Callithrix jacchus: one gene and its partner. The protein of the gene in region 2 interacts with the protein of the main gene of each other region in a biochemical or structural test. Links are inferred from orthologs where the notes say so. Each region holds a gene or a part of one and is shown on either strand. Other genes may lie near its edges. The genes, in order: RAB1A and CHML.

The links.
Region 1: the proteins of CHML (region 2) and RAB1A form a complex in vitro, tested with the Homo sapiens proteins (2 studies listed by BioGRID). The link is inferred for Callithrix jacchus from reciprocal best matches to the Homo sapiens genes CHML and RAB1A.

What each region holds. Positions count from the first base shown.
Region 1 is NC_133515.1:48,813,340-48,817,808, reverse strand, and holds the start of RAB1A (ras-related protein Rab-1A), read right to left. Parts: upstream 3,013-4,469; 5' UTR 2,822-3,012; coding exon 2,799-2,821; intron 1-2,798. UniProt on the Homo sapiens protein: The small GTPases Rab are key regulators of intracellular membrane trafficking, from the formation of transport vesicles to their fusion with membranes.
Region 2 is NC_133520.1:44,290,499-44,294,934, reverse strand, and holds the start of CHML (rab proteins geranylgeranyltransferase component A 2), read right to left. Parts: upstream 2,958-4,436; 5' UTR 2,854-2,957; coding exon of another isoform or gene 2,823-2,853; coding exon 849-2,822; 3' UTR 1-848. UniProt on the Homo sapiens protein: Substrate-binding subunit (component A) of the Rab geranylgeranyltransferase (GGTase) complex. Binds unprenylated Rab proteins and presents the substrate peptide to the catalytic component B.

The DNA of each region.
Region 1 (4,469 bases), on a different chromosome or scaffold from region 2:
GGTGATAAAATATTAAGAACTTTTCTTTCTTTCCTTTATTTTCCAAATTTTCTCTAATTACTTTTACAAAGGTAACAAGCTTCATTAAAAAAACTGCAGGCCGGGCACAGTGGCTCACGCCTGTAGTCCCAGCACTTTGGGAGGCCGAGGCGGGTGGATAACGAGGTCAAGAGATTGAGACCATCCTGGTCAACATGGTGAAACCCCGTCTCTACTAAAAATACAAAAAATTAGCTGGGCACGGTGGTGTGTGCCTGTAATCCCAGCTACTCAGGAGGCTGAAGGAGGAGAATTGCCTGAACCCAGGAGGCGGAGGCTGCAGTGAGCCAAGATCGAGACATTGCACTCCAGCCTGGGTAACAAGAGCGAAACCCCGTCTCAAAAAAAAAAAAAAAAAAACCTGCTAAAGTCAGATTGCTAAAAATCTGATTGTTGGCTGCCCTTGTAACCTTCCCTAATAAAATATCCCTCACTTCCTCTTACCCTAATTTCCACTAACATTTTTGCAAAAGTTTTCCCAAATTCCTGTTTTACTTTACTCAACAGTCTAGATAGACTACAAATATAGTAGGCCAGATACTCATGTATTTGATGCCAGAAAAAATATAAAAACTATTTCTGGATTTGATTCCATTGAGGTCATTAATCTAGTCTTCAAAAGAAAAGGATGATGTGATACCACATTTACTCAAGAATTACTATCCCTGTCATCTATGAGCCATTCCTGCTTCTCCTCCTTGAAAATTCCTTCTCACTCCCTCTGTTCCTCCAAATCCAATTGCTGCTGATAATTTCCTTTCAGGTCTCTTTTCTATAAAGTCTTCCAAAACCCAGATAGCTAATCACAACCCACCATCCCCGAAATCTTGTTGCTCTCATCAACGACACACATCTGGAATTTGCTGCATTTACTGGTATTTGACATGCATAAAATGTTTATCTATATTCCTAAACTCCTTAAACATAAAGATTATATTCCTAAATCTTAGCACTAATAGAACGCCTTTCATGAAAATTACGCATACTACCTGAAGAATGCTCATATAGTTTTCCTAATTCTTTTATATGCATTTGAATTTCACCACTACCCTGAAAGGAATAATGATTCCAATTATTCTATTTAACAAAAGGGGAAATAAATTCAGAGGCTAACTTGTCAAAGTTCTCAACTAATCTTGAATATCTATTTACAGTACTAAACATATATATAGTAAATTCAGAAAAAGCCCTTAACAGTACAGGTTTATGAACTTTGATAGAGCGGTAAATCCATATTCTTTACTGTTACCAAGAAAACCACTAAATTAAGAACCTCAAGTTCAACTGTGTTCACCTGTGCAAAACCAACTGTGTCCTTGGAGCCCTTGAAAAAAAAATTTTTTTAACTGTCAACAAAGTAAATATGTCACTACAAGAACACTACCGTCAACTTCTAAAGCATAAAATTCTAATAAAATACTATGGTTTCAGTTTAGTGCAAAAGATTTCAGCATCAAGCCAGTGTTACAAAACTTGAAGAATGCATTTTGCAAGAGCCATGTGACACACACATGACAGTCAGCTAAACTGGTGGGTGGACCTTTTAGGGGAAAATGTTTAGCAGTAATTGATCAAAGCAGCAAATAAACTCAACTTTTACAACAAATACTCATTTCCCCCATCCCTCAAAGGCTTTTGACACTGAAAAGAAATACCAATTCTATCTCTTCCAATTACTCATTACTTTACATATATGTAAACTGTAGAGGAAATTTTTAAAGGGCCACTGAGGAGAGCCAACAAAGTCTACCCAAGGGAAGTGAACACCAGTTCCCAGGAAAGGTGCCAGGTGTGTCACATCTGCTGTCGTGACTTCTTGAGTAAGCAAGAAAAAGAAATGCATTAACTTTTCATGACACGTCATGGAACCTCATTGCCTATCATTCCCTATCTGCAATCATTCAAGCAGGTAATCCAAAACCTACATACAGATCTATCATAGGTCCCATTCGTTTCTCTTTCAACTTGACAGCAGGGTTCCTTTAATCTGGTAGTATCAGAAAAACATTCCTTGGCTTTAGCTGTGTGTTTTTTTTCCTTGACCTACAGAAGACAAAATGACTTAAGTGTCCTCTAAAAAAAAAAAAAAAAATTCTCACAAGTGCCCAGGTTTTTAGGAGGGCAATGGAACCGCCGAGTTCTTAAAGAACTCTTCCAAGACACAACTCAAAAAAGAGAACTTAAAAATCGCTTCTCACCATCTACTCATTCCCCTCAATCCCAAGCAGTCCCGAAAAGCATCCATATTACCTGAAACCTGGCGGAGAGGATGGAAGGAGAGGGAGCCAAGAAGCTCAGGATTTGCAAGTAAAGCTGGTTTCCACCCCGAGGATCCTGACAGTTCCGCAGAGTGCGGGCGCAGGGTCTGCCAGTGCCCTCTAGGAGGGCTCTCCCACGCCATCCCCTCCCCTCAGAAACAAGTCCTCCTTCAAAAGTCACTGCCTCCAGGAAAAGCTAACCCTTCACACCGCCTCAGGACCCTCCGCACAGTTCCTCAGCACCCGCCCCACACTCAGGCCCTCCAACCTGACCTGGTCCAGGCCCGGGCGTCTCACCCCTCCGGCCCGACCCCTCCCCCGCCCGGCCGCCCCTCCGCGTCAGACAATGGGGCCCGGCTCCCGGCCGCCAGCCTCTCCTGACCCATCACCCTCGCCTCAACCCAGCTGAGGCTCCGACTTCCGCCCCAACCCTCCTTGCCCCCTTTAAGATCCCTCAAGCTGGCCCACGGACCCAGCCGACCGGTGCTCTCCTGAACTCACTATTCGGGATTCATGCTGGACATGTCACTGCAGCTGCCGCCGCCGCCACCGCCGCCCTTGCTGCTGCAGCCGCCGCCCTGACTCTCCGCGCCACGGGTAATCGAAGGAAAGGAATGAGATAGGCTGTTCCGGGAGAGCAAACGTCTTCCCCCACTCAGTCCCCTAGAACACAATCAGCAGCCGCTGCCACTCAGCTATCGCTTCCACCCAAAATGGCTGCCGGCGAACCAGGAAATAGGGAAGCCTTAGACCAAGGAGCCTTTACACAGCCGGAGGGCGGCCGCACCGCCTGGCATGCCGGGAATGGGAGTCGCGAGTGCGGATACGCGAGCTGAAAACAGACGGTGCGGAGCGGAGGCCAAGACTCAGCTTCCCGCCAAGCGCCGCGCGTTTGGAGCATGCGTACTTGAAGGGTTGTCGCCCGCCCTATTCCCCACTCCCTCACCTCCCCACCCTCCGCCCCTCCTTGCTCCCCTCCCCTCTGACTCGCTGGCTAGGACTTCGCTCTGACTCCCCCTGGCGGATTGGCTAAGGCCGAGCGGCCCTGGTGATGTCAGCAGTGAGACGTGGCAGCTGGGCTAGTAAGCGCCCCACGCGGGAGGGGGCGGAGAGGGGCGGAGAGAGGCGGAGGGCGGTGCCGGCGGTCGACGGAGGCTGGGGGTCGGGGAAGGTTGGGGACCGGAGGGAGTGGTCAAACCGGAGAGACTGCCGGGGTGCAAGGGCGGGGAGGGGGCCGGGGGCGGGGGACACGCGTGGCGGCTCAGGCCCCCGGTGTGGCTTTTGCTGACCTAACCAGCTTGAGGCTTGCGCCACCCGGCTGGCTAGTCGGAGGACGTCCGCTCTAAGGACAGAAGGGAAGTCAAGGGGCTCCCTGGACAACCCGGAGCGGTTCTTTCACTTCTCACCCAGCCCCAACTTGGTTCGGTCATCGTCCATTGTTGGCCCCGCGCACTACCATTTTCTTTGATTTCTTCTTATTCTTACTGCTGCCCCTGTCTTAACTCGTCAGCCTGGATATTGCAGTAGTCTCCTAATGGGCTCTGCCTCTCTCTTCTCCGCCCCAGCCCATTTGCGCACACAATCGAATGTATCTTTCTGAGACAGCACCTCTACCATGACCCCACAACCTTCAGTGGCTCCACATTCCATGGACGGGAGGGACACAGCCCAGAGCCAGCCTAAAATCCAAGTCCTCCCTTCGTGCCAGCCTTCAAGTTGAGTTGTAATGTCTTATTTTCAGTTGTTACTAATCCTGAGCCATTCTGCAAGATTGGAAAATAATAAACAATAAAAACATGCAATTCATCACTACATAATGCCTACAATTTCTGAGGGTATTATTTATTAACTCATTTTTTAAAAACCTGTGGTCTTAACAGCTCTCTTTAATCAGCGCAGGAATTTAAATCTCCACTAAACTTTAACACATTATCTTGAGTTATTTAATTACAAAGGGCATAGTATAATACATTGTCCAAAGTTTATATTACAGCTTCTAAGAACTAAGAAAATTGTCTCCTGAGACTTACTGCAGAATCACTTTAAATTACTACAACGCCAAAATATAGAAAGAAGGCACTTATATCTACCTATACACTAATTACACCCCTTAACCCTCAAATTCTGCCGTGGGCCTTAGTTGATAAATTTTCAAAGGTTATATGAGTTACT
Region 2 (4,436 bases):
TTTCCTTTTGGTCTATGTTACTTGTTGGAAGTTCTTTAAGTGCCACATTAGGGATCTCCAGAAATTTTCTAAAGTATTAAGCAAGAATAAATCTTATCCTTCAAATTTTCTTTGCAATCAACCTCCCCCCAAAATGAGCTTTTCAATCACTAAAAATTGAACTCCAACTCTTTTTGTAAATTAGAACACTGCGGTGGCATCATTGCCTCATCAGTTACAAGGGTCAAGTGGGTATTAGAAACTTCGGACCTTCACAATGAATAAAGGATCATGCAAAGCTAATCTTTTAACAATTACAGACAAACGTATTTTATTATCATATTGGCATCTGTATTAGTTGCTATTCCTACCACCATGTCTATATATTTATATTATATGCAAAAGATCCACATAATTTACCATTTGTGTGTGTTTCACTATTCAAACAGGCTGCAGCAACTCTAATAGCTGTAAAAGTAATTAAAATATTACTTGGGTATTACTAATTATTCTGTAGACAAAGATAAAACCTGAAGATCATTAGCAAATACAATGTTACCTTTAAGCTGAGTTGCTAACATGGAACCCTTACATACATACCCAATACTAAAATAAAGCTAACTCTGTTTTAAGACTTTGGATCACATAGCCCATTCTAAACAAAATGTTCAATAATCAGTAAATCACTTGTTGATAGGTTAACAAAGATATTCAATGTTGAATGTCTGAAAGAGAGTTAAAGATAACATCTGCATAGCATTCATCATATATCACCACTTCTAATTACTCATATGGGAAACTGTTCTTTAAATGAGAATATTCTGACGCCACGGTAAAGGTCCAAAACTGCATTTCCAGATAGTTCTTTTCTAATTTTGAAGGTGCTTCTCTGGGCTTTCTAGGTTTTTGCTTTCCTCAGAGGATTGTAGTTTGGCTATTACTGTATTATTGGTCCCAGGAACCTCTGGCTGCTTATCATCACCATCAAAAATAATGTCTTCTGGATTTGGAGGTGGAGGGCAGAATTCTTCACTTGGAAAGATCTCCTGGAAAAGCGTTTCAGCTTGCTTGACAGCATGCTCATTTCCCAGTCCACAGTCAGGCCCAGAGCAGACATAAACATTGGAAGGTAAGCCATTATATGAGCTTCTGCTAATGCCTGAGGAATCTCTCATATTAAAATAAAGAGCCCACAAGAGTCTTGGCTTTGTAAGTTCTTCCTTGTTTATTTCTATATCAGCATACGGAGTGAATAATTTCTCCACCACTGGTTCTAAGTCTTCTCTTGCTGTTTTAGAAGATGAACACGTCAAATGTACCAGATAGGTGTCCTTCATGCATGTCATGGTTGAAGAACATAGTTCTGTGACCCGAACAGCACAAGCTCCTGGTTCTGCTGGAGGAACTATCAAAATGGAAGTCTGCTGATCTGAATCTGTCTTTAGTATAGACTTGTCTGTAATGAGTACTGCCCTGGAGATCTGCTTATACTGCACATTTAAGCATGTTTCCTCAGAAAGGTAACCGTCTTCCACAATAAAATACTTAGCATTTATTCTTTGACCAAAGTGATCTATAATTGCTTTACATCTTCCAGATTCTTTGTCGACTACAAAGCATTGTACTTTATGACGAAGACAATAGATTCCACCGAAAACTGCACACATCCTACAGAAACACTGGGGAATTTCTCCTTGGCCATACAAGGGAAATAGGAAGGGAGTGTTCCCAAACCGTCCAAGACACTGAAGGAAGTTTTTAGTTGCATTAAGGCCATCTATTGTAGTGCAAGATGATTCTGATGTCATTGCAATTGAGTGCAGTACAAAATGTTGAAGGTTGGGAGTTAATTTTTTAGTTTTTAAGTACTCTGAAAATGAACACTGCCTAAAAGCTTGGTATTCGTCAGGATGTTGTTCATACTCTAAACAAAATGTGAGAAATTTCATTAGTATCCTCTTTTCAACCATGGTAAGTTCCTTGCTATTAAAGACATCAGCTCTAGAGCAAGGCACTTGTTCTACCTTTCCTTCTCGAAATGCAAGAATCCTAGTGACATTTTTAAATTCTACATAACGACTAACATCTGATTTGATTAAAAGGTCAATTAGTGATCCTTGAGAATACAGCAGTTTTGATACCAAATCAATATTAAACCTCCTTCCTTCTTTAACTATTTTAGAGTAAGTAATCCTATTTCTATTTGGTTGATTGGCATTGTCTTCTACTGTAGATGTGCTTTCATCTTTAACTCCATCTTTATCTGAAACTGTGTGTATGCAAGTTTTATCTCCACAATACTTTTCTTTCTCCACTGATTCGTCTACATCAGTTATTTCTAGGGAAATCTCTCCAGCACTTTTCTGAGTGTGTTTGGCAGGCATTTCATCACTATTAAAGTACGATGACTGGCTTTCTTCAGGCAAGCATGCAGAATCCAGAACTTCTGTGAAGGTACTAGACACCCCTGAGGAAGGATTTTTCTGCAGAGCACCAATCTCTTCAATGTCATCCTCCACATCCTGACTCGCATAACAAAAAGCTTCTGTATGTTGAATAGTTTCATCCTTCTTGCGAAGAGTAATGGCTTCTTCCGTTTCATGGATCAGGTCTTGCCATGCAACAGTACTTTCTTCCCCAATGTCATTGTTTTGCTGATACTCCTTCAACCAGGATAGCAATCCTGAAAAGCTGAAACTAGCCCAGTTTCCTCCATAGTAACTTCTTGAATCAACATGTAGAACCCTCTGACCACTTCTTGAACATGCAGCTGCAAGAATGGATTCAGGCAAACCTGTCCCTATTATAATCACATCAAACTCTGTGGGTAGATTGTCCGCCATTCTAGGAAGTAAAATCGTCTGGTGACAACTGCTGATGAAAGAAATAAGGTGTGACTATGCTGTAATAAAATCTGTCCTTCTGATGTTCCACTTTATCCCAGAAGCTCTGAAGTTGCAGGTCCTAGCTGTTTAATGGTTACCCTTTTAAAATATTTTTTTTCTTGTAAGTCAGTAGCATAAAAACATGAGAAAGTACATCTAATCACATCTGAGAATACTAAAACGGATGTGTGGTTTCATTTCTGCATTTCATCTTAGCAGTAAATGTCAAAATGCATCATATATGCATTTGTGACTGGAACTCTTCTCTGAAAGAAGAAAATTCAAGAAAGAATACATTGTAAACAATGAGAAGATAATTTCATGCAACAATTACAATCCATTGGAGTGTGACTTATTATTTGAACATAAACCTCCACTAAAGCATGTCTTAAATGCTTTCTCACATATTTTCTAATTTCTTGAAAATGAACAATAGAGATAAAACAGCCCTCCCCAAAATTAGGCGATATAATAATGGAGAATGAACATAATGTTTCACAAAAATAAAGAAGAAATAACATAATACAACTCTCTAAATTTAGCTTTTAAGAAAACTAGCATGTGAATAAAATACACAGCCGTGAGCTTAGACTAATAGGAGCATGTGGTTCCATTGTTTATAGAAACAGATTATGTACTATGTGCATACTGCCATGATTAAAAATATTTCTGTGGCCATTACAGTCTGTGTACGATTCCAGAATAGCTGAATAGATGACCTTTCTATGCCACAACCACACGTAGGATCTTATGGTAGGAATAGGAGATTATTTCTACCGAATTGTTAGTCAGATGATTTAAAAAGGATGAATTCAGTAAAACAACCAGTCATTTAAAAATATTTCGGCTCATACAGAATAGGCCTGAGGAGGAAAATGTATTTATAAAAAATATTTATATGAATGTACGTATGCATATATGTCTAAGTAAAAAAGGAAAAAAGTGTTTAAGTGTAAGTTAAAAAGGAAAATTCCTGGTTTCATATTAAAATATCTTGATATAAATAATACCTACTCCTAACATTTGAATATGATGTTTGCATTCTGCCACTGTCTCTGCAACCCTGAATCTCTGTATCCCAACATCCTCTATCTAAACATCCTCTGCCAAGACTAACATGTTGTTTGTTCTTATTTTTGAACGGGTAGTAAAAAAAAAAAAAAAAAAAAAAAAGACTCCTGGTTACATTCCATGTGCACAAGACATCTGTGTGATGCTATGTGTGGCCGGAGGTAGAAAAGCCCAGGTGCTGAAGAGCATACTCACCTGAAAGTCTTCAGACTAAAGCATTATACATACAACACTGCTAAACTTTCTAACATTCATCATTGTAGTTTTGAGCTCTGGTTTTCACTACGGTTAAACCTACTAAAATATAGATCAGTACAAGCTGGACCTGTCTAGGCCAAGATGACTAATAATTCTGTATACTGGTAAAATAAGCCATTCAATTGGAACTTAGATTAAATTGCGTAGGTTATAGATCTTTAGTTTAACTAAAATGGCAATCCTAACAGTCCTGTTTAGTCACAGCGTCTGCCTCAAGATATCAAGAATTCCACTCATTTTCGG